7 linked regions of the Rattus norvegicus genome follow. The protein of the gene in region 1 purifies or fractionates together with the protein of each later gene. This does not show direct contact. Links are inferred from orthologs where the notes say so. Each region holds a gene or a part of one and is shown in the gene's direction. Other genes may lie near its edges.

Region 1 (4,279 bases):
AACGGCCATGTGCAGCAGTATAACCAGTTAGAACGTTCATCAGACTTTCCCATCTGGCTGTCCAATGCACCAGGTGTGTTGCCTAGTGGGATTCACACCTTCAACATCCTAACAGGCCCTCTGCCCTAGGTTTGTGTCGAAAACGCAAACACAACCCTCCGCCCAGATGCAACACTGTTTGCCTGTGCCATTGGCAGGCTGTGAGCAAAGCCTTGATGGACGCCGCTGCCTAAAGACACAAAGTGCTTCGTGCAGACAGTGCTACACAGACAACCGTTTCCACAAGTGACCCCGATCTTGCTACCTCCACCTCGAATCCTCCTCTGTCCCACCGGGAAGCACCTGCAACTTCTGAGCAAGGCAGGATGCTCAGTGCACGTAGCAGACCCTCCTCGCCTCGAGGCCAGCTGCAGGACACCAGGCACTGTCCGACTCGGTTCTAGGACTCACCCCGTGGCTAGTAGACAAGGACACCAAGCGAAACCCACCTGCTGCAGGTACTGGTTAATGGTGATGTGCGCCATAGCAGCAGCCGCGGGGGCTAAGTGCCTCACTTCCGGCGCAGGTCCGTCTACCCTCCTTGTCCCCACACTGTACCCTCCGCACTTTGGTTCCGGAGCGGGTGGCGCAAGCCGAGCAGAGCTGGCTCGAGCACTTCTTTTGGGTAGCTGTCAGTGCAATCACTGGGACGCCACAGGTCCGGCGGGGGCGCGCGCGCGAGGTCGGGGACTAACGTGGAGGAATCCCAACCGACTTGGAAACGTGTCCCTGCGTCCCTGGTCACATCTGTGTGCTAGTGACCCGATTCCTCGTACCCCTCACCCCTTCCCCGATTATGGTGACCCGCACCCCAACCCTCAGTGTGCAGAGGTGCTCCTGGCTCTCACAGCCTGGAGCAAACAGAGCAAAAGTCCAGATCGCACTGGGAAGACGTCCCGCGCACTCCTAGCCCTCGCGGGATGTTTTCCTGAGTCCTCCCACAGATACTCCTGACTGGGGCACCCCAGATCAATGGGTGTAGAGCATTCCGCCTCCCATCCCACCCTCTACGTGCCACCGCACAGGGCGTTCCTGAGCCCTAGGATGTGAGGTGGCCCCAGAGGCAAGGTTGTGGGGTGCTTTCATCCACTCAAGTCTTCGCCGGGGTGTCCCGGCCCTCGATGTGACGTCGGGCTGCGAGCTCCCGAGCACTCGGCGCGGGTGTCACGGCGCCCTCTCGCGAGCATTCGTTGTAGAACGTCTGCTGCGAGTCCCCAAGCCCTCCTTGGGCGGAGTCCGCGCACCGGAGCCGGATCATTCCGGTGCGCGCAGCGGCGGTTGGCCCTCGGGCGCGCGGACCCGGGCGCGAGCAGAAGGAGGAGGAGCCGAGCGCTCACGGGCGGAGCCCGACAGGAGGAGGAGGAGGAGCCAGGCGCGCACGGACGGGGCGCAGGGCAGGAGGAGGAGCCGGGCGGCGCGGGGCGGGGCGGCGTCCGGCCCAGCCATGGCGGACGAGGGCCCTCGGAAGGGCAGCGTCTCGGCTCTCATGGGCCGCACCAACGGCCTCACCAAGCCCGCGGCGTTGGCCAGTGGCCCCGCCAAACCGGGAGGCACGGGCGGCTCCAGGAAGCTGGTCATCAAGAACTTCCGAGGTGGGTGCGCTCCGGTGAAGAGCGAACGGGGCGGCCGGCAGGTCGCGCGCTCGGACAGGGCCTCCTGGGGCTGCCCGGCCGGCCCTGTCCCCGCGCCCCAGCCCGCCTTGTTCCCGCACTGTCCCGTCTCGGCGCTGCACCCTGACATGTCCCTGCACCTCATGCTCCGCCACGTCCCCGCGCCCCAGCTGGCCCTGATCCCGCACCTCCTGGCTGGCCCGGCCGGGCCCTGCCTCGGTGCCCCGGCCTGTCCTGTCCCCGCGCGGCCGTTGACCCTCTCTCCCCACAGACAGGCCGCGGCTGCCTGACAACTACACTCAGGACACGTGGCGGAAGCTTCACGAAGCGGTCAAGGCCATCCAGAGCAGCACATCCATCAGGTACAACCTGGAGGAACTGTACCAGGTGAGCGGCGGCGAGGGCCTGCGAGCACCTGGCTGTTTTCCTCCTCCCGCAGCCACGGGGGCCGACGCTAGGGAGGCCTGCCCGGGGGAGAGCTGCGGCCCGAGCCTTCCTTAGCGGAAGCCGCGAAGCCCTGGGTCAGCAGGTGTTTCTGTGGATCGCCGCCCTGGATTAGTGCTGTGTGTTGAGGCTTAGACCAGGCTGCTTAGGAGGTGTAAGTTTCCCCATCACCAGAAGAAAGGAGCTGTTTGGAGCTGAGAGGCACAGGGCTCCAGCAGTCTTCAATGTTATCAGAACGCCAGTTGTTAAACATAAAGCTCATTACGGCTCCATTTGCTAGTAGGGTCCCTGTGTTGTAACGCACCGCCCTCCCCAACACACACACACACTGCTTTGTGGTTTAATTGTTGCAAATAGGTTGCAGACGGATTCCGGTAATTTAAAGATGGGTTGTGTCTGCAACAGGAATTAAAGTCGTCAGAAGTACATTTTGCTGTTTCAAGCACACTCTTCTGTCATGGTTTTTATACAATAGTGTTCGCTAAATAGTGTATGTTTTAGTTTCATGATAGAGCATATAATTACTTACATGTTACTCAAAAGTTACCTAAGAGGCTTGTTTTATCCTGATACAAACTGAGGGTACTGTAAGTTACAGGAAGCACAAGAAGAAAAGTAAGCAGCAGTACCCAGAGGAAACTGTGACAGTCCATCACTCCCAACCCCAAATTCCCAAATTCAAGACTTAGTGAGCTCGTGAAGAAAAAAAAAATCCACACCTGACCTCCTCTGCCTGGCCTCAGACAAAACACAATGTATGCTAGAACTATTGAATAAAGTGACGGTGAGCTAGGGCCAGCCAGATGACTCAGTAGGTAAAGCGCTGGCCCAGCAAGCTGGCAGCCTGTGTTCGAACCTCAGAACCCTCAAAACGGTGGCAGGGGAATGACTCCAGACCATTCTCTGACCTCCAGACTCTTGATGTGACACAAGCACCCCACCCATCCACCCACATAGCATGTCCACATAGGGTAATGAGAACCCTCAAATTGTGTTCAGGGTATATGGGATATGAACTGGCTTTGTGTTTAGACTTGACCCTCGTTCCCCAAATGCATCATCGTGCATAAGCAAGTATTAAATCCAGAAGAAAAACATCTGAAATCCAAAACACTACTGGCCCCGAGCATTCTGGGTAAGGGACCACTGGCCTACAGTGATGGCTTGGTACATGTGTGTGTCTGTTCTTTGTCTTAAGTTTGTGAGTTGATTGTAAGGTTTGTTTTTGTTTGGTTTAGACAGGGCTCACTGTGTAGCTTTGGCTGTTCTAGAACTCACTATGAACCACAGGCGACCTCAGTCTGACAGAGATCCTCCTGCCTTTGCCTCTTGGTGCTGGGATTAACGTTATGTACTGCTGCACTTGCCTAAAGATTTACTTTTATTTTTATCATTTTAAGTATGTGCCTATGCGTGGTGGGTTTGAGTATATGAATACAGTGTTGGGGACATGTAACATGTGCTCCAATAGGTTTATTCTTTTAGGGGAAGAGGAGGTCAGTTTTTATTTTTTAAGAGTTTCAGTGTGGGGCTGGCAAGATGGCTCAGCAGTTAAAAGCATGGTCTGCTCTTCCAGAGGTCCTGAGTTCAATTCCCAGCAACCACATGGTGGCTCACAACCATCTGTAATGAGATCCGATGTCCAGAGGTGTGTCTCAAGACAGCTACAGTGCATTCATATATACATGAAAAAAAGTCTCAGGGGATAGTAGTTAGTCCAGGCTGTCCCTCATGTAAGTATTGGGGCTATAGGCTTAAAATAAGTTGTTTGCCAGTCCCTCAATGAAAACTTTGACTGTTTGCATCCCCTGTAAAGAAGGGCATTCATTTCTTCCCATTCCCCACCCGTGGCAGCTGCTGCTGTGTTTTATCTACTCCTCTTCCTCTATCTAAAAGGAGGTGTGTGTTGGCTGGCCTCTGTCCTCTGTCCTCTGTCCTCTGGTTGTTGCCTAGAATGGAGTTTGCCGTTTACTTGAGTGCTAACAGTTTGGTATTTTGGGTTTTTGTTTGTTTTTGTTTTTTATTACTTGAAATAGAATTCCATCCCTTTCCCCCTCCTTTCTTCTCTTCATGGCCCCCAGACACCCTCTTTCAAATCCCTCCTGGGTGTCCCCAAGTGCATATTGACAAGTAGGGTGGATATAGTACAGCTGGCTTATTCATCAGGTAATGGACATTTGGGTGTC
Region 2 (3,536 bases), on another chromosome or scaffold:
TGTACTGATTCTCTCTCTCTCTCTCTCTCTCTCTCTCTCTCTCTCTCTCTCTCTCTCTGTGTGTGTGTGTGTGTGTGTGTGTGTGTGTGTGTGTATTCCTGTCCTAGCTTTCATCAAACTCTCAGTTGGCACTTCTGTGTACCTGGTTCCATGAAAATACTATGGCCCCTGCTGTCATGTAGGATACATTTGGGAGAGGAAGTTTACCATAGAGAAGGTCACCAGTTGCAGAATGCCTGCTGACAGATAGGCATGGTGTATGGGCACAGAAGAGCACACTCTGTGAAAGGACAGTTGCCAAGTGTCCTGACTGGCTGGCGGTGCTCAGTGATATTGCAGAAGCTGTTTTTGGGCAGAGGCCTGAATGGGATGAAGAGGCAGCATGAGAGTGTTCTAGCCAGAAGGCCCCCACAAAGAGAAGGCCTGTAGGAGGACATGGCATGGTCATGAAAACCAAGGTGGCCAGATGGTGTGGCAGGTGTGAGCTGCTCAGTTTGTTGTAGCCACAGAGATGGCATGGCCGCACAGGGCCTTGAAGACACAGTCACTCCCTGGGTGTTAACAGAAGCGTGAGAACTAGGGCAAGCATTTCTATAATGACATTGTCCAAGGCCTGTTCAAAAACTCACTCAAGGAGCTGGGTGAAGGTTCCCTTCCTGTGAGAAACAGCTGAGGAAGTCTTCTGTGCTGCACAGACTGTAATAACAAGCCTGGGTGAAAGAGGAGAGGTGTCAGAGTGGGTCAGGCCTCTGTGTCTGTGACCCTGGCCACTGAGAATGCAGCAGAGCTAGGCTCAGGGCTAAGACGGAGACGATATTGGACGTGCTGAGGTGCAGGTGACTTTGAAAAGTCATATAGAAACGTTCGGTGTACCACACAGACCTGGAGATGCGGAGGAAGGGCTCTAGTGAGTGACAAGCATGCGCAGTAGTGCTGGTGGACCCTCAGCTCCTCCCAGCAGGAGTGGGCAGAGGCGGATGGAACTCTCTGCCCCGCGGCAGAGCCGCAGAGCGGCCCCAGTCCTGCCCTTTACCTCTGACCCGTTTGTTTCAGGAACAAGTACCTGCTGCTCAACAACCAGGAGCTAAATGAACTCAGTGCCATCTCTCTGAAAGCCAACATCCCTGAGGTGGAAGCCGTCCTCAACACTGACAGGTGATCCTGGTGGGAGACAGCCGTGGATGCAGGGCTCCCAAGGCACACACATAACTGCCACTCACCATGGCTTTGTGTGCTAGATACTCACATCTCCTGCATTTCCTAACTGAGCATCACAGCAGCCCTCAAAAGGAAGTGCCATCGTCATCTTCCCATCTACATGTAGATGACAGAGGTGTCATCTGGCCCCTGCCAAAGGTCAGCTGTACTCTGCCCTTCCACCTTGTCCCATGCTAATGGCCCCTTTACTGGTATCCTCAGTTCCTGCCCAGTGGCAGCTGTGCCAAGCAGGGTAAGAAGAAGCAGCCCCTTCACCCCTTGCCCTATGTCTGCCTCATCTTTGGGATCAGCACAGTGACATGCCAGCCTCTCGGGGGCTTATGAAGTGTGAACCTGATCTAGCAACTAGAGTCACAACCCCCACCTCCTCCTGATAAGATGGACCTGCCCAGAGTCTACAGGGATGGAAGTGGAGCTGCTGTGCGGACAGAGTCTAAGGGCCCAGACACCTGCCACCATGACAGGCCTAATCCCTTTCTCACCTACTACTGCCTCTGCCTCAGACAGGAAACTGAGGCCTAGAAGCTCACAGCTGAGCTGGAACTGACCTGGGGCAGGAAAAAACTCTGGGCCCTACCGATTGGCACAGATGTTATTCTATCTGGCATACTCTGCTGTAGCCTGGATTAAACCCGTTTGTGATGTAAGTGGCCCTTCTCCTGGAAGTCCGGAGCCCCATCTGGCCCTGGGCGTGCCTCTGCCTCTTGCCAGTCTGAGGAGGGAAACGTGGCCTAAGGTGCAGAAGTGCACTTGGCTATGGAGCTGACAACGGCACAGTCTGAGGTCCCAGCACACAGTGGAGCAAGAGAGCATCCTCACAGACTCAGACATTACCCGCTCGTTCAGCTCCACACCCACACAGGACTAGCTCAGTGGCCCATCAGCCATTGAGATCTGTCACCAGCTCTGTCTATCCCTTTGATTTCAGGAGTCTGGTGTGTGACGGCAAGAGGGGCTTACTAACTCGGCTGCTGCAGGTCATGAAGAAGGAGCCAGCAGAGTCTTCATTCAGGTGAGTAAGGAGCAGATGGACCCGTGAGACCTCTAGGAGCCAGGGGGTTCCCAAGGGTAAGGGGTTAGGTGGCCACTGACTCCATGGGACTCGGCTGGTAAGTGTGTGTATCCTTGTCACATGCCAGCAGAGTATGCTAGGAGGTGACTGAGCATGCATCAAGCTGGCACTAGAGAGGTGGAGCACAAATAGGATCCAGGCTATGCCTGCGTGACTACTTGGGATCATGGGAAATAAGCATGAAAAGAAAGAAACCTGCTTCAGTGCAGTATGGGAAGAAATAGAGCCAGGAACCACCCCAGAAGCCATCCGCTAGGTGGCTAAGCACCAAGGAGGAGGCTGCAGAGCTCCTGGCCACCTAGGTGGGCAGGGGTGGGATTGGGAGGTTTAGACAAGGGGATTCCAGCTGGCCTGGCTACAAGGCTCTGTCCCTACAAGGTCCCCTGTCATCTCAGCCTTACCTATTCAGACCCTCCTTCAGGGATCCCAGCTGAGCCTCTGGGCCACTCAGTGTCTGTTGGCTCTTCCTAGAGAGCTCAATGCATATGAACTCAGTGACATCTCCACGCATACCCTTCTGCTGGCCACACATCCCTGGCTTCTAGGTCCATGTCCTTCCAATATTCTGAGAGTGGAAAGCCTAGAGTGGTTTTACATGGAACTTATTAGCGGCTACTCTCTGAGCCCAGATGCAACTGTGTATGCCCATATACCACAGAAACCCATTCTGGTATAGCTACATGAAAGACTGGTCCCTGCTGAGCTGTGAACACCATATACGAGAATGGCGGTTCTCTTGTTCATTGCTGTGTCCTCAAGACCTAGGGCTGGTACCCAGACTGGAAAATGTTAAGTAAATATCAGATACTTGGCTGCAAACCGCTCTGACCCTGGGGCCATTGAGCCTGCACCAGGGGAGGACAGCCAAAGCCACCTGGGCCAGGGTTCAACATTTTGGTCATAGGTTTTGGCAAGCCCGGGCTGTGGAAAGTTTTCTCCGAGGGACTACGTCCTATGCAGACCAGATGTTCCTGCTGAAGCGAGGCCTTCTGGAGGTAGGGTGGAGGGACCAGGAGGGTGGAGGGCAGGGGCGGAATCCTCCCAGCCCCATGCATTGATTCCTCATCTTGAGCCTAAGGAGTTTGGTCAGAAACAGACCTGTTCTGGTTGTTCCAAGTGCACATTGCTCAGGGTTGGTCCTGGGTTGCCAGCAGTGGGCTCTCTGTAGGTACTGAGGGCTAAGGGACTCAGGAATGTAGAATATATAGAGTTACCCAGCAAGCCCTTTGACCCTGAGGATAATTTG
Region 3 (4,055 bases), on another chromosome or scaffold:
TTCCTTATTTTGTGTATGTAAGCCCTTTCCCTTAGAATTGACATTTTACACTTTATTATGGGCCTTTTGCATGCCTGGCAAGCATCTACCATAAGTCTAGCCTAGTAACTAATATTGTGTTTCCTAACTCATCACTTTTGTTTAGAAAGGATCATATACGTGTGTATATATATATGTGTGTGTATATATATATATGATAACATGTATAATATATATACATTCATATTCTACCCCCACATTGGTTCAGACTGATCAGCTTCTTGAAGCAGTTCCCATGCCTCAGCCTCCCTAGGCCGAGGTTATAAATGAGTCACCATTAAGTCTACTTTGCTGTTTGTGTCTGAAAGAGAGCATCTTGGTTGAGTATCTCCTGCCTCATTTCTTAGAGTGATGGGCCACCATAGTCGTTTAAGAAAGCTAGTACAGGCAAATAGTCTTCCTAAAAATAACGTTAGATTTAGCCGGTTTGGAGCCTGTGCAGGCAAAATTGGTGACCCTCACTGGACTATGAGGCGATGTGGATTTTTTTTTTTTTTTTTGCCTTCGTTTTTTTGTTTGAGAAGACTAACTCTGCATAGCTCGGTTGCCTCAGACTCAGTTTTCTTGCTTATGCTTTCCAAATTCTAGGTTAACAAGCAATTTCTAGGTTTACAAGCATGCACCACTCTTGCTCCCTTCATTTTTTTTTTTTTTTTAGAATTAATTCCAATAGCAGTTGCTAGCTTCTCAGTTCGAATACTGAGGCCACAATTGTGTGTTTACAGAGCACTTTGTGGCGCTTGGTTTGAGCCTCATAAACCCTTCCTACCAGGGCCTCCTAGGTCACGAGCAGATCGGTTTACGTAGTTAACCGTGCAGCCTTTGCAGGCTCTGACCGGCAAGGAACCCGGGTTCTTGCCCTGGGCCCAACCGATGCGCCGTTTGGATGGATTCTTTCTGTACCAATGTAAGGCGTCCAGCATAGTGCACGCCCGATGCCATTTCACTCTGGGACTCAGATCACTTCTCACCAAAGCAGTCGTCAATACCAAATCTCATTAGCCTGTGTCTTACCGCGGCCGCATCAGAACTCCAACCAAGCACGCCCAGTACTTGAAGGAGGGGCCCTTGCTCGGTCAGTCTACCGAAATTGCTCCTCGGTAGAGCTCGGGATAGGACAACGCGCGCCGGCCCACTTTACGGCAAAGGTGTGCGCTTTTGCGACAGCATGACGCAAGCAGGTTTTGGCGGGAAAAGCTGTGCACTTGGATTCCTGTGGCAGCTGGCAAAGGACTGCTTGGTGAGAAGGGCGTCCTGAACGGTGGGAAAGAACTCCAGCAAAGTACCCAGAGGGCTTGATTAGTGCGGGCTGGCATGGTGAGGGAGTGGCCCAGATGAGCGGAGAGGTGGGAGGGCCGCCCGGAGTGCGGGCTGGAACCGGTGGTCTGCGGCTCTCCAGCGTACAGGGACCAGAGCTTTTTGTAAGCCTCCGGGGTTCGCATGCTTTTCCGGCTTTAGGGGGTCCCTGCCTTCCGCTTCTCTCCGCGGCTTGGCCCCGCCCCGTGCCCTCCCGGTGCTGGGGACACGTGCGGTTGGGGTGGGAATTGGAAGTGAGCGGGTGGGAGGAGGGGCTGCTCTGGAAGTAATTCCCTTAGTTACACCCAGCTGTCCCCCACCCCGGCACCCTGCCCTGCCCTGCCCTGTCCTGCCCCCAACTCCCTTTCCGGGTCATTCATCTGAAAGCTTTTGTTTTGTTTTGTTTAGCAGTTACTTCCAGCTAAGCAAGTGTTCAGTTTTGCATAAAGGCGGAGGTCTATCGTAGAAACAGGATTTGTGATATACAGGGCAAAATGTTTAAATTTAGCTTTATGATTTGGGTAAATATGGATGAGATGTAAAGGGAAAACAAAGTCGTGCGGAATCATGGCAGGAGACATGGCTCAACGGCATTACAGGTGATGAGAATTTACACTCATCGCCCGTATTTTCTGGAATCCTGCATTTTACAGTTGCTGTGCTTGGAGTCATGGCAGTGCCTTTTGTGGAAGACTGGGATTTGGTGCAAACTTTGGGAGAAGGCGCCTATGGAGAGTAAGTTTGAGCCCTCATTTAAATTTTTTAGTGTGTGTGGGTGTCTGTGTGCACGTGTGCGCGCGCGTGCGCGCCTGACTTTTGTTGAAGACTGGGATCTGGTGCAAACTTTGGGAGAAGGTTCCTATGCAGAGTAAGTTTGAGCCCTCATTTTAGTGTGTGTGTGTGTGTGTGTGTGTGTGTGTGTGTGTGTTCGTTCTGCCATGGATGTACCTGTGGAGGTCAGAAGACACTTGCTGGTTCTGTTGAGGGTTCAGAGGACTGAACTCTGATCATCAGGCCTGACAGCAAGCGGCTTAACCTGCCTAGCCATCTCCACAATCCCTATTAAAATATTACCTCTTTGCTTGTTTTAGTTTTCTATCTCTTGTCTGAATACACACTTAAAAAAATCCTTTATTCCAAGTGGCAAAGAGCATGGATATTTGCATTTGTAAATCAAGGCTCTGAGTGAAGTTACTTCTCCACACTTGTCCCTCCTCTTTTGTCATAGTGGACATTGAACATCACCACACATCACCACACATGCTGGGCCTATGCTCTGCGACGAGCTACATTTTTAGGCCTATCAAACGAACAACAAATTTCTTTTTGCGTTTGATTTTGTTCAGATCAAAATCTTGTTAAATTGCCCAGCTTTGGCCTTATACTTGTGGCACACTGTAGCCTCCCAGGTAGGTATTACAATCCCATGTTAGTCGATCCAGTTTTTTTTTTTTTTTTTAAATTTTTCTTTTATAAGAAAATCATTTCCCTAACAAACCACGTGTCTTAAAATTTTAAATGAGATAATGAAAAGACCCTGGCGGCATCCAGCCTGACTGGAGACCCTCACACTCAGCGGATCCTAGTTGTGTTTTGTGTTCCTGAGCGAGCTTTATGTGTCTTTGTTTCTTCATCTGATGATAGAATTAGTGGCTCTTACCTCAGAGGTGCTCAGGCATATATGCATGAGATTCATAAAGGGAAAGGAATGCTGCCGTGGGGCCAGATCATGTGTACATGTGATGTAATCCAGCCTTGTTACTGTTTTTCAAAGCCTCATCAGTACACACACCAGGTTTCCATGTTTCCAAGACTTGGAGCCTTCACTGAAGCACTCATCTCTGGTCTCATTGCTCGGGAGACCATGGCAGAGGCCATTTCATTTTCCTTGATGAAGAAAGGAAGAATAGTTCGGGATGTGTTACATTTAATTTCTTGAAGTTTTTTTTTCGTCCTAAGATTTATGTGTTTTCTTAATATGTGTGTTTGCTTGCCTGCATGTTAGTGTACTACATGTGTTCAGGGCTGACAGAGGGCCAGAAGGTGTGGGATTCCCCCAGAACTGGGAATTACAGATGGGTTATATGAGCTACCACGTGGGTGCTGGAAACTGTACTGAGGTCTGAAGCAAGTGCACTGAAATGCTGAGCCATCGTTCTAGGTGACCCCTCAATGCACCCCCCTCCCCCCCTCCCCAGTTTTGTTTGTAGAGAGTCTCATTGGCCTCAAACTCACTCCAAGCGCTCTGCTTGCCTCTGTTTCTCTTAGGTTTTTGGTTGTGAGCCTAGCCATTAACGGCTGAGCCATCTCTCCAGCCCTTGCCTCTGCTTCTCATGTGCTGGGATCCAAGACTTGTACACATCATCACTCCCTGCTTTGAAAGTTTCTTTGTAGTCCAGGCTGGGCTGGCTTGAACTTAGACCCCTTTGTCTCTCTCTAGAAGGTTGGAATTACAGGTGTGCGTCACTAATCTTTTGAAGATGTAGGAGAAATGGAATTCTGAGGTGAAAATGTTGTAACTCACTCTCTCTCTCTCTCTCTCTCTCTCTCTCTTTTTAAGAGTTCAACTTGCTGTGAATAGAATAACTGAAGAAGCTGTTGCAGTGAAAATTGTAGACATGAAGCGGGCCATAGACTGCCCAGAAAATATTAAGAAAGAGATCTGCATCAATAAGATGTTAAATCATGAGAATGTAGTGAAATTCTATGGCCACAGGAGG
Region 4 (4,290 bases), on another chromosome or scaffold:
AGTGCCCCAAAGAATCAATGGGGGTGACCTTAGCTGTGACTCACAGCATTGGGGATATGGGACCTGAAGAGGCTACCTCCTATATCCAGAACAGAACCCCAGTGGAGTGACAGAGACAGCAAACCCACTCACAAAACTTTCAATCCAAAATTTATCCTATCTACAAGTAATGCAGGCATGAGGACGGGAGCAGAGGCTGAGGGAATGGCCAACCAATAACCATCCCAACTTGAGACCCATCCCATGGGCAAGCACCAGTCCTTGACACTATTAATGATACTCTGTTATGCTTGCAGACAGGAGTATATTGTCCTCTGAGAGGCTTCACCCAGCAGCTGACTCAGACACAGACACCCACAGCCAAACAGTAGATAGAGCTTGAAGACTCTTACGGAAGACTAGGAGGAAGGATTGTGGGTCCCAAAGCGGATAGGAACTCAGAGTCAACTAACCTGAACCCTTTGGGTTCTCGCAGTCTGAACCACCAACCAAAGAACATACAGGCTGGACCTAGGCGCCCCTCCCCATATGTATCAGATGGGCAGCTTGTTCTTCATGTAGGTCCCAAACAACTGGAACCGGGCTATCACAAAAGCTGTTGCCTGTATGCGGGATATGTTCTTCTAGCGGGGCTGCCTTGTCTGGCCTCAGTGGGAGAGGAAGTGCCCAGCCTCGCAGTAACTTGAAGTGCCAGCGGGTAGGGGGGAGTCTAACCAAGGGGGCCCTACCCACCCAGAGAAAGGGGGGGGAGGATTGGGGGAGGAGGTGCCCGGGAGGGAAGCAGTGAGCCGGACGTAAAGTGAATTTTAAAAATTAAAAAAGAAAAATAAAGAAATATAAGGGGGCTGGAGAGATGGCTCAGTGGTTAAGAGCACTGACTGCTCTTCCAGAGGTCCTGAGTTCAATTCCCAGCAACCACATGGTGGCTCACAACCATCTGTAATGGGATCCGATGTCCTCTTCTGGTGTGTCTTAAGACAGCTACAATGTGCTCGTATACATTAAATAAATAAATCCATATATATATGGAAACTCCTTTAAAAACTACATTTAATCTAAAGGTTAAGATAAACCTCCCACAGATGTCTCCACTTGTCATCTCTTTTTTTTTTTTTCTTTTCTTTTCTTTTTTTCGGAGCTGGGGACCGAACCCAGGGCCTTGCGCTTGCTAGGCAAGCACTCTACCACTGAGCCAAATCCCCAACCCCTTCCACTTGTCATCTCTTAGTCCATGGAACTACGCGGAAAATGGAGTGGTGGTACAGGATTTTAACTCTAGAGTCCCAAGAACTTTAGAGTTCCAAGTTCTTCCTTTGTCTCCAAGAAGCCACTGTCCAGGGTCATATTTGCATGCGGCCTCGCCCACCTCCTGCAAGTTCCCCGCCCCTTTCCCTTGGCGCCTGCTAATGACGTCAGGCAGGCGCCCGCGCCTGCGCGTTGTTCCTCTACGTGGAGCTCATAGTCTCTCCCAGCGACCAGGTGTCTTGTTCGCGCTGGGTTCAAGCGGAACATCATGAACCGCAGCCGCCAAGTGACCTGCGTGGCCTGGGTCCGCCGCGGCGTGGCCAAAGAGACGCCAGACAAGGTGAGGCGTGTGTGTGGGGAGTCGCCTCCGGATGCCCGCGGGCTCCGCCCCGTCTGGGGACACACGCGCCGGGCTTGAGCCACTGGATGGGACCTGCTAAGGTTGGCCGGCCTGTAACCACGTGTGGCGTAGCCACGGAGTGTGGCTCTGTTGCGCAGGGCGAGTAGAGACAACGCGCTCCTTCCTGTCAGGAGCTGGAACCCTGGTCCCACCCCCTAGATGCGCGAGCACGTGGACTTTGTGCAGTGGGAAGGGGCGGGGGTGCTTGCTTGTTAGGAGTTTCTTACGGTGATCCAGATAAAACGTTCTGGGGCAGAGGGAACAAGGTGTCAGTGTGACACATTATGAAGGAAGTCATACAAAAGCTGGAGACTGTGGCAAAGGAGGCGGTTACTCAACCGGTTTTATTCATTACACTAAGTGTTTTCTGCAAGCGAAGCGGAGCCTAGAGTACCGGGATATGTTGGAGCGAAATAGGGCAAAGCCCTGGTTTTTTGCACTTGACTTTCGGGATGGCGGGGGGCGGGGAGAGGTGTAAGTGTCCTGAAAGAAGTGAAGAGGTTGCTGTGATAGACACGGGGTGGCCTAGACATGAATTTACATGCGATGAGGGATGGAAATACTTAGAGGTGTAAATTCCGCTAGAGTACAGATAGTGTTTAGCCACTGTTTTTCTTTGGTGTTTTGCCAACAGCAAATAATCAGTATATATTTATAGGATAGGGACAACAAATTACCTCATTAAAATTTCTCCAAAAGGAAATTGTTTTTATTTTTAAGGGGACATATACAGCTTTCGAAGAATTAGGAGAGTCTTAAAAATCCCTAGTTCTCATGTGCCAACCCCAAGCAATACAAATACTTTGTGTGTGTATGCGTGTATGCCCATGTTCATGTGTTTGTGTGTTTGTGCTCTGTCTGACTGAACCCAGAGCTAGCTAACTGTGATAGAGTGGTTAGCCAAAGCACCAGGAATTCTGTCTCTGTAGTCCTCAGGGCTGAGATTATAGGTGTGCTCTACACTACACCTAGCTTTTAAGTGGATTCTGGGATGGAACTTAGGTCCTTATGCGTGCTCAACAAACACTTTACTGACTGACCCCCCCCCCCTTCCCAGTGTTTTTCAATCTTTAATTTCTGGATCTTTCTCAGGCAGAATTGAATGTCATTCTCAGGAAAATTCTTGTATCACAGAATCCTTTGTTGTTGTTTTGGAGACCGGGTGTCATTCTGTAGCCCACGGTGGCCTCAGACTTATGGCAATCCTCCTGCTTCAGCTTCCTAAATACTGGAGTCAGAGGTGTGAGCTACTGAGGATCTGGAGCAATTGATTCACCTTCAGTCCTGGAGCTTTGCCATTATGGCCAACCCACACTGTGGGCTTCAGTAGATAAACAATACCAAACCAGTGTTGGCCTTTCCAAGCTTAATGTCATAGTGTTAGGGTCTTTTCTTTTCTCCAGATAGGGCTCACTCTGTAGGCCCGGCAGGACTGGAACTCACAAAGATACGCCAGCCTCTGCCTCCACTACCGCCTGGCCCTTAGGTGTGTTAAAGGCACTGAGTAGCTGTTTAGGTGAGGGGATGCCAGTTTTGAAAAGAATAGCCTTAGTTTTTGAACTCCATTAGAACAAAAGATAAACAAGTGGGAAATGTTACTGGAAGTTGGGAAAATAGAGCTGGAATTCAAGATTGGGGGAAGTTGGCGGGTAACTGTTTCCCTGAGTCTATTTACATTTGGCAGGGATGTTGGGGAAAAAGCAGAGGACCAATGTTATGTGGTTTGTTAATAGGTGACCGCTGGCAAGAGAGGGAGGCGCCCTTGGAGTCTGGGGTAGTTGGAAGAAAAATGGCCACCACAGATCCATTTTCCAAAAGCCAGCCTATTTGAATATTGAGGAAGATAGAGGAGCAGAGTGAACATGACCTCTGAACAGCGTTAGGTGGGAGGGGTCTTTATACAAGCCCCGCCTCCTTAAATTTAGAGCCTAGATCAATGTGTGAGATTTCTTGATGGCTCTTGAGGTTGTAGTTAACATTTGCCTGAAGACCCAGTTCAAAGGCTTCCGATGATGTCTGTAAATATGCTCTAATGAAGTGTTTGCTCCCTCGTAGGTAGAGCTAAGTAAAGAGGAAGTGAAACGTCTCATTGCTGAAGCAAAAGAAAAGTTACAGTAAGTGACTTCAAGTAGTTTCCAAGTGTTGCTGACTGTGGTCAAGTCCAGGTGAAGTTGTGTCATGTGCCTGTTGTTAGGAGGTGCCATCAGGGTGACGTCTTTTTCCTCTCTGTTTCACTCAGAGAGGAGGGTGGGAGTGAGGAAGAGGAGGTAGGCAGTCCTTCAGAAGATGGCATGCAGAGAGCCCGGGTCCAGGCCCGGCCTACGGAGCCGCTGGAGGATGGGGATCCACAAGACGACCGTACACTGGACGACGATGAGCTGGCGGAGTACGACTTAGATAACTATGACCAAGAGGACAACCCAGGTGAGAGTGGCTCACCTCCGCTGTGTCTGCCCATAGCGCTCCAGGTCCTGCTGTCTTATCCCACAGCTTTCGTCTCTGACTCTCCCTGGGGTCAGGTCCGATGATTTGGCTCAAGATTTGGACTTGTTTCCTAAACTGGTTTAGAGGGAAGCTCGGATCCTCTGGTCTAAGGTATAACTTTGAGATCTAAAGAGACCGTCTACTTGATGGCACGGGTCGGG
Region 5 (4,220 bases), on another chromosome or scaffold:
TTGGGCTTCAAGGGTAGGAGTGACCAGGCTCAATTCCCATTGGCTGAGTCAGTCCTTACCCTTGACCCCCGTTCTCACTCTAGCAGCCCACACCCCCCCCCCAAGTCCCTGAAGCCTCGAAGTTGTTAAAGGAAAACAAAACAAAACCAAAAAAACAAAAAAACAAACAAAAAAAAACAAACAAAAAACAAAATCACCCAATCCAACCCAACCAACCAACAGTTCCCAATTGCTTTGAAAGCAGAGAAAGGGAAAACATTCAAAACCATCGGGGCAGGAGGAGCAATAGTCTTGTATCGCTGGAGAGAGGCTCTGCTCAACCACAGTAGCAACAGGGACTGACAGTCAAGGAGCAGGGTTGGGGTAGATGGGAAATAAAAACTCAGGAGTAACACAGATGCTTTGCTGAAGGCATGATCAGAAGACACTGCCCGGGATAGTGGAGGGTGAGGAGCCCTATCAGATATGGAGAAAAGGCAGGTATCGGTTGCATTTCAGGCTTCTTGCTACAGTGACTTCACAGAGATACTTGTTAAACCTGGATTTTACCAGGAGGTGCACAGAGGATCCTAGGGGAACATCCAGGAGCCTCATTAGAGTAATCTAGACTGTCAGAATAGCTTAGGCCCTCTCCTACAAAGATCCACACCTCTCTGTCCCTTCCTCCTCTCTTCTTTCTTCATTCTTTAAAAACCATGGTACAATATGACACTCTAAAATGTATCAGCCTTGCCTCTTCTCAGGGGACACCTTCCCCCCAACCCCACCACACACCTCTAGAACTCTGAACAACTGCCATCCCCAATACTGCGGCACTTATGAGTCTGACTGCTCTAGAGACCTCACATGAGTGGTACACAGCGTTTGTTTATATTTCACTTAACAACATCCTCAAGGCTCGTCCATGCCCATAGGCTAGGAATCCCTACTTAAAGTTTTAAGATTTCACACTCTCCCACCTTGTAGATAAAGCCCATCTTGTCTGCATGCACTGGGCTGCTTCTTCATCTTGGCCGAGGTGACTCTGAGAGCGGCCACTGCGCACGTACTACTTTTGGATTTCTGCTACCTCTACAGTACCTAAAGATTCAATACCCCCACCTTCTAGCCAATCCATTACAGCCTGTGATTTCTGTACAGTAGTCATTCTGACGGTTTTGAACTGCAACCCTGCTGGGAAATGGATAGTCTCCTTTCTCCGACCACTCGTGCAGTGCTCATGTGGTGTTTTTGGTCCTTAACGCATAATCTGTTGACCTAGTCTTCTCAGAGAGCAGCTCAGCAGCCAGGCTAGCGGGGTGCCACCGAGGCGCGGTCCTCCGGGGCCTAGACCTGCTCGGAGGAACGCCGCCGGAAGTAGAAGGGGCTGGCCGGAAGTGAGCGCAACGCCGCCAGTCTCGAGATGAAACCAGCTGTGGATGAGATGTTTCCCGAGGGCGCGGGGCCCTATGTAGACTTGGATGAGGTGGGGTGGTGGCGGCGCGGAGCGATGCTTGGGGGTGGGAGCACGCCTACAAACCTGCGTGGGAGCCCAGGCCTTCGGGGACTCAAAATCTGCCAGAGACTGGGGAAGCGGGAGCGGGCGGGGACGGTCGCAGGGTCCAAGACTGTTACATGAATTGCAGCGAGGAAGTAGGGTCTGTTCTCTATTACTTGATTGTGGCTCCTCATAAATATTCCGGAGAGAGAAGGCCCGAGCGAGGTTTACGCACTGACTGGCCTCTAGCCACCAAGCCCTGAGAGAAGGGCAAGGGATAGTGTGTGGCAACTGTGTGCTTTGTGCTGGGACTCGGTTATTTCGTGTAGACACACAGACTTTTGGAGCGATCTTGTGCTTTTGATTTATACCATGGTCACAGATATTTATCTGATACAGGTGTTTCAGTGAGGTGGTTATGATCAGGAGTGTCAGCTAGCTCGTGTATGTCAGCTTCCTGCTCCTCAAAGCTCAGCGAGTAGGGAGGTGCGCGAATGCATCCCGGGACCTGAGAGATGTTAGGTGTGGCCCCAAGAGGCCGACTGCAATTTCTAAGTATAATAGCAAGGGTGGGATGGGGGTGCCATACAGACGTGTCCATGGGGTTTTGGTTGGCTCAGATTAGGCTTAAGAGAGGAGCTTCTCCTGATTCAAATATTGAAAAATGTGTTCTGTTGACATTGGGGTATGGATGACGAGAGCCAAAGTAGCAGAGCTTTGGAAGAGCGATGCTCCCTGGCCCGCTAAGGGAAGGGGATGCCAAGTAGTTTGTCTTAGGGTTTCTATTGCTGTGACCAAAAACTATGACCAAAAAGGAAGCTGGGGAGGGAAGGATTCATTTGGTGTACACTTTCACATCATTGGAGGAAGGCAGGACAGGAACTCAAGCAGGGCCAGAACCTGGAAGCAGGAGCTGACGCAAAGACCATGGGGGTGGGGTGCTGCTTAGTGGCTTGCTCAGCTTGCTTTCTTATAGAACCCAGGACCACCAGCCCAGGGATGGCACCACCCACAATGGGCTGGCCTCTCCTTCATTGATCACTAATTGAGAAAACGTCTTACAGCTGGATCTCATGGAAGTGTTTCCTCAACTGAGCTCTTCTTCTCTGATGACTCTAGCTTGTGTCAAGTGGACACACAAAACGGGCAGTACATAGTTGAACACAGAGGGGTGGGAACAAGCAGATCTACATAGTAATGCCCAGAGAGTGAATGTATGGGCTCTGTGATCCCCTGATGAGGCAATTGCATTCAGCCTTAGCCCCTCAGCCTTGCAGCAGGTGATGTGAGGGCATCCCGATGAGGAAGCCTGGCTTCCCATGGGGGTTGGTCCTTTGGAGAGGTGGGAGCTTCGGTTTATAGGGAGATGGTAAAGCAATGGAAACAGGAAGGACGAAACCTTAAAGAAATTGTGACTGAGGCAGTGGAGGCAGGAGGAGGGCTCAGCCAGGACTTTAGAGGCAATCTGTATGGCTTTGTCCAGTAATGGGGCTGGGGACAGAGGCAGAAAGAAGACTCGAAAGGGAATACAGGAGATGCTCAAGTACTTGTCACTCCAGGGAAAGTTGAACCAGGAGCCCTCGAAAGATGAGGCCCAGGCAGAAAAAGGCCAGAGCCAGCCGTCCAGTGTGCTGCAACCACAGGTCTCTGCGTCCACCGTTCTGGGTGACCAAAGAGCACAAAGAGTGTTCATATCTCACAGATTGGGTGTGGTCAGGTTTTAGCACCACCATTGGTGGCAGTCCTGGAGGCTTCTCCCAAAGAGCAGTACCCCAGACCTCAGCGCTGGGACAAGCAGCTTCCCAAGGGGAATGGCTGCAATCTCAGAGAGAAGGGAGCCTCTAGGGCAGATGTCCAGCTTGCTGGTGTACTTCTGTGCCCTCTGGCATTGTCTAGGAGGGGACTGAAGACTCCGGCAGGAGAGTACCACAGGAGGCCATGCCAAGGAAAACTGAGGACCTTGAGAGAGCTTTAAAATCATTTGCTTGGCTTCCCCATTCACACTACTTTCTTTGTCCGGGAAATTCTGGCTCCCATCTTGAGCATTCTTCTTGTCACTCAGTGTTCTGTTCCAGGGAGGTGGGATGGGTGTGCTAAGGAAGCCACCACCTGCTCTTGGAAAACAAGCACACAGAATGACCTTCCCTCTCATTCTCCAGGCTGGAGGTAGCACCGGGCTCCTGATGGACTTGGCAGCCAATGAAAAGGCAGTTCATGCGGACTTTTTTAACGGTAAGTCTGCCAGCATTGGGTGCCAGGCTTAATCTGAGTTTTCCTCTGCGGTGGGCAGTTTTGTGCCATGGGTAATTTGGATCATGGGACAGTGTGGCCCAGACCTTGTGCCTCTGTCTGTGCTGTGCCAGGTGTGTGGAGTGATCCCCTGGCAGTCAGCTCTGCCTGTCCGCCCTGTCTGAGGAGAGCAGGAAGTAAGTGTCTCCCCAGTTTACTGCCCAGGCTTGAATTTGAGCAGTGGCATGAGTGGCGTGTGCAAATGGACGTATTGATTACAGCCCGTCTCCCAGACCTGGGCACAGAGGCCTCATGGTTCTGTCATCTTTGGACTCTCCCGGTGACAGCATGTATCCCTCTCTTTCCTGGGCCACACCTGCTTGTCCACCTGGACTCATGGCCACTGCTGCCTTTGCAGAGTAACAGCTGAGCTCTGCTTCAGCTCTCCCTGAGTGAGGTCAGAGCGGAGGACGCACTTCTGTTGCATAGCTAAGAGCATTCTCGGTTAGATTAT
Region 6 (4,287 bases), on another chromosome or scaffold:
ACTTAGACGGGGCTTTGTTTGACTCCGTGTAGCGACAACAAGAGAAACAAAACTACCTATTTGTAACGGACGTGGTGCTGTGGCTCTGGGCTTTTTGAGCGCCTGCCGATTGAAATCTTTACGTCTGGACAATGGGAGATCGGCTAAAATTACCCTCTCGGGTCCTGGGCGGGCAAGATTCTTGAGCCCCTACCTCCGCCCCCAGCCCATTCTCCCACAGCCTGGGCTTGCTCGGTCCCGGCTCCTCGGGTTCGGCCGGCCTTCCCTCTGCGCACGCCGCCTGCACCTGCACCTCTGGACCCCGCGCGTTTCCCAGGCCCCGGCGCCTCTCGGCCGGGCCTTCGCGACTACCACTGTGCCAATCAGCAGGGGCAATGCGGGCTGCGCTGCCCCATCCTGGGAACGCTGCGTGGGAGGGAGTTTGTGAGCGCAGCCTAAATGCCACCTCCGTGCCTCGCGGTGGGATGCCAGGAAGTTGCGTGACCCTCCCCCATCCTCTGCCCTCTGGAGCTTCTTTCTGTTGATTCTTTCGTCCCCTAGCTCTCATCTGAAATTGCCATCACTGAAATCCTCTTGTGTCGGGGTTGGGGGTTAGAAAGAGAGGGAGGAGTGAGTTCAAGCTTTGCGTTTGCACCCTTTAGATGGGACAGATTGGTGGAGGAGGGAGTTAGGGTTCAGGACACGTGCTGTGGTTCCTTGAGCCACACCTGAGTCGGCCTAGAAGAAGGCTGTGTACAGGGCCTGGCCCTAGCTCTACAGTCAGCCATATGGGCAGAGGACTCCTGTTTGGGAACCCAGCCGATGACGCGGAAGCCAGGAGGGCGCTGAGGCCTGGGTCTAACTTCTGGTCTGTTCTGTGAGAAAAGGGGGTGAGTGGGTGTTGGCAACAAGGTTGGAAGAGGGGCTGGGACAGAGAGCAGTGCCGCGGATGAGCGGAGGAACAATGGCACACCACCTCCGGCCCTGCCAGCTTCCTGAAATACTAGTTGGACGGTCGCCCCGAACCACCCATGGGCCTCGCCCCACCCTGGCCCCAGCTTTCCGCGCCCCATCCACCCTTATGTACCCAAGAGAGAGCCAATATTCCGTAGCATGGGGGAAAGGAGCTGTCGTCTTGGTGCTGTTTACCCACTTCCTTCGAACAGGCGTGCCGCCGTGACCTGTTGCTGAGAACGGGGGGGATACAAAGGTTCCCCCGCGGCGGGCTGCAGGCTGCGGGCCCGCCTCCCCCGCGCGGTTCGGGGCACAGCGCTCCGCTGCGCTCGGCTCGGCGGCGCGGCAGGCCCCGCCCCCTTTCATGCAAAACCCTCTGGCGAGGCTGGGCTCCGGCGCAGGAGCCGGCGCTCGCTGATTGGCCGCCGGAAACCCATTTATTCCCTGACAGCCCCCATCACATGGATGGTTGTCTATTAACTTGTTCAAAAAAGTATCAGGAGTTGTCAAGGCAGAGAAGAGAGTGTTTGCAAAAAGGGAAAAGTACTTTGCTGCCTCTTTAAGACTAGGGCTGGGAGAAAGAAGAGGAGAGAAAAAGAAAGGAGAGAAGTTTGGAGCCCGAGGCTTAAGCCTTTCCAAAAACTAATCACAACAATCGCGGCGGCCCGAGGAGGAGAGCGACTGTTTTTTCATCCCAATTGCACTTCGCCCGTCTCGAGCTCCGCTTCCCCCCAACTATTCTCCGCCAGATCTCCGCGCAAGGCCGTGCACGCCGACGACCCCGCCCGCGGCCCCTGCATCCCGGCCCCCGCGCGCGGCCCCCGCAGTCCCGGCCGGGCCGAGGGTCGGCGGCCGCCGGCGGGCCGCGCCCGCGCCCAGCGCCCGCATGTATAACATGATGGAGACGGAGCTGAAGCCGCCGGGCCCTCAGCAAGCTTCGGGGGGCGGCGGCGGAGGAGGCAACGCCACGGCGGCGGCGACCGGCGGCAACCAGAAGAACAGCCCGGACCGCGTCAAGAGGCCCATGAATGCCTTCATGGTGTGGTCCCGGGGGCAGCGGCGTAAGATGGCCCAGGAGAACCCCAAGATGCACAACTCGGAGATCAGCAAGCGCCTGGGCGCCGAGTGGAAACTTTTGTCGGAGACCGAGAAGCGGCCGTTCATCGACGAGGCCAAGCGGCTGCGCGCTCTGCACATGAAGGAGCACCCGGATTATAAATACCGGCCGCGGCGGAAAACCAAGACGCTCATGAAGAAGGATAAGTACACGCTTCCCGGAGGCTTGCTGGCCCCCGGCGGGAACAGCATGGCGAGCGGGGTTGGGGTGGGCGCCGGCCTGGGTGCGGGCGTGAACCAGCGCATGGACAGCTACGCGCACATGAACGGCTGGAGCAACGGCAGCTACAGCATGATGCAGGAGCAGCTGGGCTACCCGCAGCACCCGGGCCTCAACGCTCACGGCGCGGCACAGATGCAGCCGATGCACCGCTACGACGTCAGCGCCCTGCAGTACAACTCCATGACCAGCTCGCAGACCTACATGAACGGCTCGCCCACCTACAGCATGTCCTACTCGCAGCAGGGCACCCCCGGTATGGCGCTGGGCTCCATGGGCTCTGTGGTCAAGTCCGAGGCCAGTTCCAGCCCCCCCGTGGTTACCTCTTCCTCCCACTCCAGGGCGCCCTGCCAGGCCGGGGACCTCCGGGACATGATCAGCATGTACCTCCCCGGCGCCGAGGTGCCGGAGCCCGCTGCGCCCAGTAGACTGCACATGGCCCAGCACTACCAGAGCGGCCCGGTGCCCGGCACGGCCATTAACGGCACACTGCCCCTGTCGCACATGTGAGGGCCGGACCGCGAACTGGAGAAGGGGAGAGATTTTTCAAAAAGATACAAGGGAATTGGGAGGGGTGCAAAAGAGGAGAGTAAGAAAAATCTGAATGCTCAAAAGGAAAAAAAAAATCTCATTACCCGCAGCAAAATGACAGCTGCGGAAAAAAACCACCAATCCCATCCAAATTAACGCAAAAACCGTGATGCCGACTAGAAAACTTTTATGAGAGATCTTGGGACTTCTTTTTGGGGGACTATTTTTGTACAGAGAAAACCTGAGGGCGGCGGGGAGGGCGGGGGAATTGGACCATGTATAGATCTGGAGGAAAAAAACTACGCAAAACTTTTTTTTAAAGTTCTAGTGGTACGTTAGGCGCTTCGCAGGGAGTTCTCAAAAGTCTTTACCAGTAATATTTAGAACTAGACTCCGGGCGATGAAAAAAGTTTTAATATTTGCAAGCAACTTTTGTACAGTATTTATCGAGATAAACATGGCAATCAAATGTCCATTGTTTATAAGCTGAGAATTTGCCAATATTTTTCGAGGAAAGGGTTCTTGCTGGGTTTTGATTCTGCAGCTTAAATTAAGGACCGTTACAGACAAGGAAGGAATTTATTCGGATTTGAACGTTTTAGTTTTAAAATTGTACAAAAGGAAAACATGAGAGCAAGTACTGGCAAGACCATTTTCGTGGTCTTGTTTAGGGCAAACGTTCTAGATTGTACTAAATTTTTAACTTACTGTTAAAGGCAAAAAAAAAATGTCCATGCAGGTTGATATCGTTGGTAATTTATAATAGCTTTTGTTCAATCCCACCCTTTTCATTTTGTTCACATAAAAATATGGAAATTACTGTGTTTGAAATATTTTCTTATGGTTTGTAATATTTCTGTAAATTGTGATATTTTAAGGTTTTTTCCCCCTTTTATTTTCCGTAGTTGTATTTTAAAAGATTCGGCTGTTATTGGAACCAGGCTGCCGAGAATCCATGTATATATTTGAACTAATACCATCCTTATAACAGTTACGTTTCCAACTTAAGTTTTTACTCCATTATGCACAGTTTGAGATAAATAAATTTTTGAAATATGGACACTGAAATTATGCCTGAGTCTTTCATTTCTTTGGCTAGCATGCTTGTACATAACTTCTTGGGGGATTGGATAACTGTTCAGCCACCAAGATCTTGGTGTTACCAGCAATGTCTGTTAGCATTAACTGCAGAAGAAAAAAAAATGGCTGGATGATTAAAAACGGGAAACTGAAATGCGCTGACATTTCTAGAATAGAAACTAGAAGCATATATTGTAAGTCCACCCCCTCCTTTCCTGAGCAGCGTGAATAAGCGCGATGTGGGCTTAAGCTCTCTTGTAGCACTTGTTGCCAGAACGAGACGATTCTGAAATTTTTCGTGTAGCTTAGTAGATGGGGTACTGAGCCAAATCAGAACCAGGTTGGCTGGGTTGGTTTTCATTTTCTTCACAACACAATGGCCCTTTGAAATGTGGTTTATAGGGGAA
Region 7 (3,536 bases), on another chromosome or scaffold:
GATGGTTGTGAGCCACCATGTGGTTGCTGGGATTTGAACTCAGGACTTCTGGAAGAGCAATCAGTGCTCTTAACCGCTGAGCCATCTCTCCAGCCCATGTGTATGATTTTTAAGCTAGAACAGTGCTGAAAGAAATGAATAGCTACTACATGCTTATGGATGAAAAGGCTCAATATTATTAATAACAGTGACAAAGTGGGAAACTAGAACTCATTATTAGAAGCATCATTATTAGAATTCTTACTACTGGAATTAATAGTTTGCTAGCTTGTTTTTATTTCATGATTGTTTGTTTTTGTTTGTTGTTTTGTTTTCTTGAGACAGGATCTCTCTACATAGTCCTGGCTGTTCTGGAGCTCTCTATGTAGAAAAGCTGGCCCCTAACTCAAAGAGATCTGCCTGCTTCTGCCTCCAGAGCTGGTATTAAAGGTGTGCACTACCACACCTGGTTCAGTTTGCCAACTTTATAAGATATTAACCATAGTTAGTCTATGACACAGCAATTTTACCTCGTGGGTATGTCTACTCATGAAAGTGAACATTTATGTGCACACACAGAGACTTGTACATGAATGTTTACAGTAATATTCTTCATAATTGCCTCCAAAAGTAGAGCCGATATGATTTCTGTCAAGTGGTAAATAGGTTAACAAAAGGTAGCGTATCTTCTGGGCATGGTAGTACAGGCCTTTAATCCTAGCACTTGAGAGGCCAAGGCCTACCCGGTTTACACAATGAGTCCAGAACAGCCTGGGCTATGTAGAGAGACTGTCTTACAACCAAAAAAGACAAAAAGTACAGGGGTTGGAGAGACAGCTCAGCAGTTAAGAGCACTGGCTGCTCTTCTAGAGGTCCTGAGTTCAATTCCCAGCAACCACATGGTGGCTCACAACCATTTGTAGTGGAATCTGATGCCCTCTTCTGGTGTGTCTGAAGACAGCATCAGTGTATTCGCATATATAAAATAAATAAATCTTAAAAAAAGAAAAAAGTAAAATTCCTGAATGTAAATAAAGTAATGCATATTTCAAAACTTGTTGCCAGCTAGGAGTGTTAGCTTAGTGGTAGAGTACAGGGTTAGCATGTACAAGCCCTAGGTTTGATTCCTAGCACCACAAAAAAAGAAAAAGAAAAATATTGTATACCAGAAGTATGCACAATATGCAATTTAATACAATGTTATAATTAAAAGTAAATAAAGGTTAATATGTGTAAGATAATGTACAAATCAATCATGTTCCTATTTTGTTGTGAGTGTATCCTAACCAATAGTTAAAAGGTTTGTTTCTTTTCTTATTGTGAGACAAATCTCACTTTGTAGCTAATTTATCCTTGAACTTGTTATCTTTCTCCCAAAGTTCAGATTATAGGAATAGACAAGTACTTTTGAAATAACGTGTATATGTGTGTTTCATATATAGACTTAAAGTATTCACAAATATGAATACTCTCTTAAGGACTGAACTACAGGTGGGCTTCCACATATAGCTAAAGTATGTAATTTTAAAGAAAATATATAACCTTGATAGTAATTATGGGACCTACATTTAAGTCTTTACAAGATTTAAATAAAATCGATAAAAAAAGACTCAAAAACTACAGTAATCTCAGAAGCAGGAGAATCTCAATAAATTCTCTTCCAACTTGGCCTACATAAGAAGTTTCAGGTCAGTCGAGGTTACATAATGAGATCCTGTCACAAAAACCAAAGTGCGGGTAAGGACCAGAGATTAGACATAAACTTAAAAAGACAGGAAAAAAGAAGAAACTTGATAATAAAAGTTTAGAAGCTGGCAGTCAGGCAGATGAATGGCAACTGACTTCAGGCAGCTTCACTCCAGATGTTTAGAAAGCTAATTCCTGGTAGAGAGAGGTGATTTAGAGTTTATGGCACTCACTGCTCTTCCAGAAGACCCAAGTTCAGTTCCCAGCCCCTGTATCAGATGGTTTAAAGCCTCCCTCCTGTAATTCCAGCTTGAGGGGATCCAATGCCATCGTCTGGCCTCTCCAGGCACCTGGTCACATGTCATGTACACATGCACACATATAAACACAAGCAATTGAAAACAAACCGAAATCCTCAGTCGCAGAGGGAAAGTAGTAGCTAGAGGAGACTTGAGTGAGAGATATTTAAGAACTTTAGCTCTACTCTTCACCCCGTCCAGTGGGCAGTAGATCATTTTCCCAGAAGTTCCTAACTCTGTAAAGATGTAATATAGAAAATACTGCCATCTTGAAGGATGCCAGAAACAGTTGGAGGCTTCACTGCTCTGCCAAAACCAAGGGGCTGAGTAGTAAAATTCATACAGTTTTAGCTTCTTTCAGTAGTCACCTCACAGATATTAGCACTAAGGGGCTCTTCAGAAATGGCTTCATCCTCCTTGTACTCAAGAGTTCCCATTCAGCTTGAATTCCTTGCTCTCACCTAAATGAGCAAGCACACAATGATAGTCAGACAACTGAGAAAAACCTGACGGAGGACGCATACTACATAGGAAGATTGGGGGATAGAGAGACAACACAGGGAGAATAAAACATAGTAACCATTTACCCATGTTCTCTTAGATATAAACTTGAATGCTTGAAGCAAAATTAAGATCTAGTAGGATGAAGCCTTTAACTGGCTAATACTGTTCAACCTCTGGGTAATGAGTCACAGCTCTTCATTTATAAAGACTAACTATGTTTTATGGGCTGCCAAGATGGCTCAGTGGGTAAAGGTACTTGCTACCAACCCTGCAACCTGAGTTTAATCTCTTGTCTATAAAGTTGAGTTCCAGGACAGCCAGGGCTAAAAAGCATTGTAAAATATAAAATATGTGTGTGGCTCTCAGTTCTTTAAGAATAAAATAGTTTGACTGGTACTGGGAGTTGGTATATTTGTGGTAACACTGGGTTTGTTGGTCTGATTTCTGTAGGTGCACAGAAGATGGGTGTCCACACAAAAAATTCTTTCATACACGTTTTCTTATGCGAATGAGATTAACACCAGATTGTTCCAAAATGTTGATCTCAACGTCCTCTGGATATCTCTTGATTTTGCATGATCTGGACTTGACTAAGTCTTTAGAAGTAGGCAGCTATCCCATTCTGAGAGCAAGAAGAACTACTTCAAGTTCAGGTAAGGTTTTTTGGTTGAAAGCATCTGAGCCACGGAGGGGCAGGTGTTTCTGGTCTAAGTATGCTTTCAGAGACAGGAGGTGAAGCCATTCTCCAGAAGCTGACTCACAGCTTTCCACTGAGGTGTGATGACTTTCATGTATCTCTGACAATGTTAACTTGTGCCTCTGGAATGACTCTTAGCTCTAAAAGCTCTTTCGGATTTCTATTAGCCAGAGAATCATCATCCTTGCCTCAAGCTTAGTGATGGCCCAATATGATACCTGTCTTAGGGTATTAAATTATAGTCACTTCAACAGTTCTAAGTGTGTAGTCTGTACTACACTTCTGATGTCCACTCACAAGCTGATGCCATCTTGGAGCATCCTCTTGCTGGAGCCTTTTTTATTGTTCATTGCTGATTTCATTAAATGTAA

What was found.
Region 2: the proteins of Cul4a (region 1) and Trpc4ap purify together in Homo sapiens (affinity purification with mass spectrometry; 7 studies listed by BioGRID and IntAct, counting the BioPlex papers as one, with this or other methods). This does not show direct contact. The link is inferred for Rattus norvegicus from reciprocal best matches to the Homo sapiens genes CUL4A and TRPC4AP.
Region 3: the proteins of Cul4a (region 1) and Chek1 purify together in Homo sapiens (affinity purification with western blotting; 4 studies listed by BioGRID). This does not show direct contact. The link is inferred for Rattus norvegicus from reciprocal best matches to the Homo sapiens genes CUL4A and CHEK1.
Region 4: the proteins of Cul4a (region 1) and Pwp1 purify together in Homo sapiens (affinity purification with western blotting; 6 studies listed by BioGRID and IntAct, with this or other methods). This does not show direct contact. The link is inferred for Rattus norvegicus from reciprocal best matches to the Homo sapiens genes CUL4A and PWP1.
Region 5: the proteins of Cul4a (region 1) and Cops9 purify together in Homo sapiens (affinity purification with mass spectrometry; 3 studies listed by BioGRID and IntAct, with this or other methods). This does not show direct contact. The link is inferred for Rattus norvegicus from reciprocal best matches to the Homo sapiens genes CUL4A and COPS9.
Region 6: the proteins of Cul4a (region 1) and Sox2 purify together in Homo sapiens (affinity purification with western blotting; 3 studies listed by BioGRID, with this or other methods). This does not show direct contact. The link is inferred for Rattus norvegicus from reciprocal best matches to the Homo sapiens genes CUL4A and SOX2.
Region 7: the proteins of Cul4a (region 1) and Dcaf10 purify together in Homo sapiens (affinity purification with mass spectrometry; 4 studies listed by BioGRID and IntAct, with this or other methods). This does not show direct contact. The link is inferred for Rattus norvegicus from reciprocal best matches to the Homo sapiens genes CUL4A and DCAF10.

Annotation. Positions count from the first base shown.
Region 1 is NC_086034.1:83,121,645-83,125,923, reverse strand, and holds the start of Cul4a (cullin-4A), read left to right. Parts: upstream 1-1,466; 5' UTR 1,467-1,483; coding exon 1,484-1,631; intron 1,632-1,920; coding exon 1,921-2,036; intron 2,037-4,279. Other genes in the region: Pcid2 (PCI domain-containing protein 2), read right to left, coding at 489-524. UniProt on the Homo sapiens protein: Core component of multiple cullin-RING-based E3 ubiquitin-protein ligase complexes which mediate the ubiquitination of target proteins. As a scaffold protein may contribute to catalysis through positioning of the substrate and the ubiquitin-conjugating enzyme.
Region 2 is NC_086021.1:164,587,091-164,590,626, reverse strand, and holds part of Trpc4ap (short transient receptor potential channel 4-associated protein), read left to right. Parts: intron 1-1,053; coding exon 1,054-1,155; intron 1,156-2,146; coding exon 2,147-2,230; intron 2,231-3,194; coding exon 3,195-3,285; intron 3,286-3,536. UniProt on the Homo sapiens protein: Substrate-recognition component of a DCX (DDB1-CUL4-X-box) E3 ubiquitin-protein ligase complex required for cell cycle control.
Region 3 is NC_086026.1:44,627,043-44,631,097, reverse strand, and holds the start of Chek1 (serine/threonine-protein kinase Chk1), read left to right. Parts: upstream 1-1,254; 5' UTR 1,255-1,279; exon of another isoform or gene 1,280-1,460; intron 1,461-1,477; exon of another isoform or gene 1,478-1,988; 5' UTR 1,989-2,005; coding exon 2,006-2,070; intron 2,071-3,895; coding exon 3,896-4,055. UniProt on the Homo sapiens protein: Serine/threonine-protein kinase which is required for checkpoint-mediated cell cycle arrest and activation of DNA repair in response to the presence of DNA damage or unreplicated DNA.
Region 4 is NC_086025.1:19,883,628-19,887,917, reverse strand, and holds the start of Pwp1 (periodic tryptophan protein 1 homolog), read left to right. Parts: upstream 1-1,454; 5' UTR 1,455-1,513; coding exon 1,514-1,585; intron 1,586-3,700; coding exon 3,701-3,759; intron 3,760-3,884; coding exon 3,885-4,069; intron 4,070-4,290.
Region 5 is NC_086027.1:100,659,374-100,663,593, reverse strand, and holds the start of Cops9 (COP9 signalosome complex subunit 9), read left to right. Parts: upstream 1-1,387; 5' UTR 1,388-1,402; coding exon 1,403-1,465; intron 1,466-3,636; coding exon 3,637-3,709; intron 3,710-4,220.
Region 6 is NC_086020.1:119,463,675-119,467,961, forward strand, and holds Sox2 (transcription factor SOX-2), read left to right. Parts: upstream 1-1,456; 5' UTR 1,457-1,819; coding exon 1,820-2,779; 3' UTR 2,780-3,868; downstream 3,869-4,287. UniProt on the Homo sapiens protein: Transcription factor that forms a trimeric complex with OCT4 on DNA and controls the expression of a number of genes involved in embryonic development such as YES1, FGF4, UTF1 and ZFP206. Binds to the proximal enhancer region of NANOG.
Region 7 is NC_086023.1:64,430,987-64,434,522, forward strand, and holds part of Dcaf10 (DDB1- and CUL4-associated factor 10), read left to right. Parts: intron 1-2,918; coding exon 2,919-3,121; intron 3,122-3,536. UniProt on the Homo sapiens protein: May function as a substrate receptor for CUL4-DDB1 E3 ubiquitin-protein ligase complex.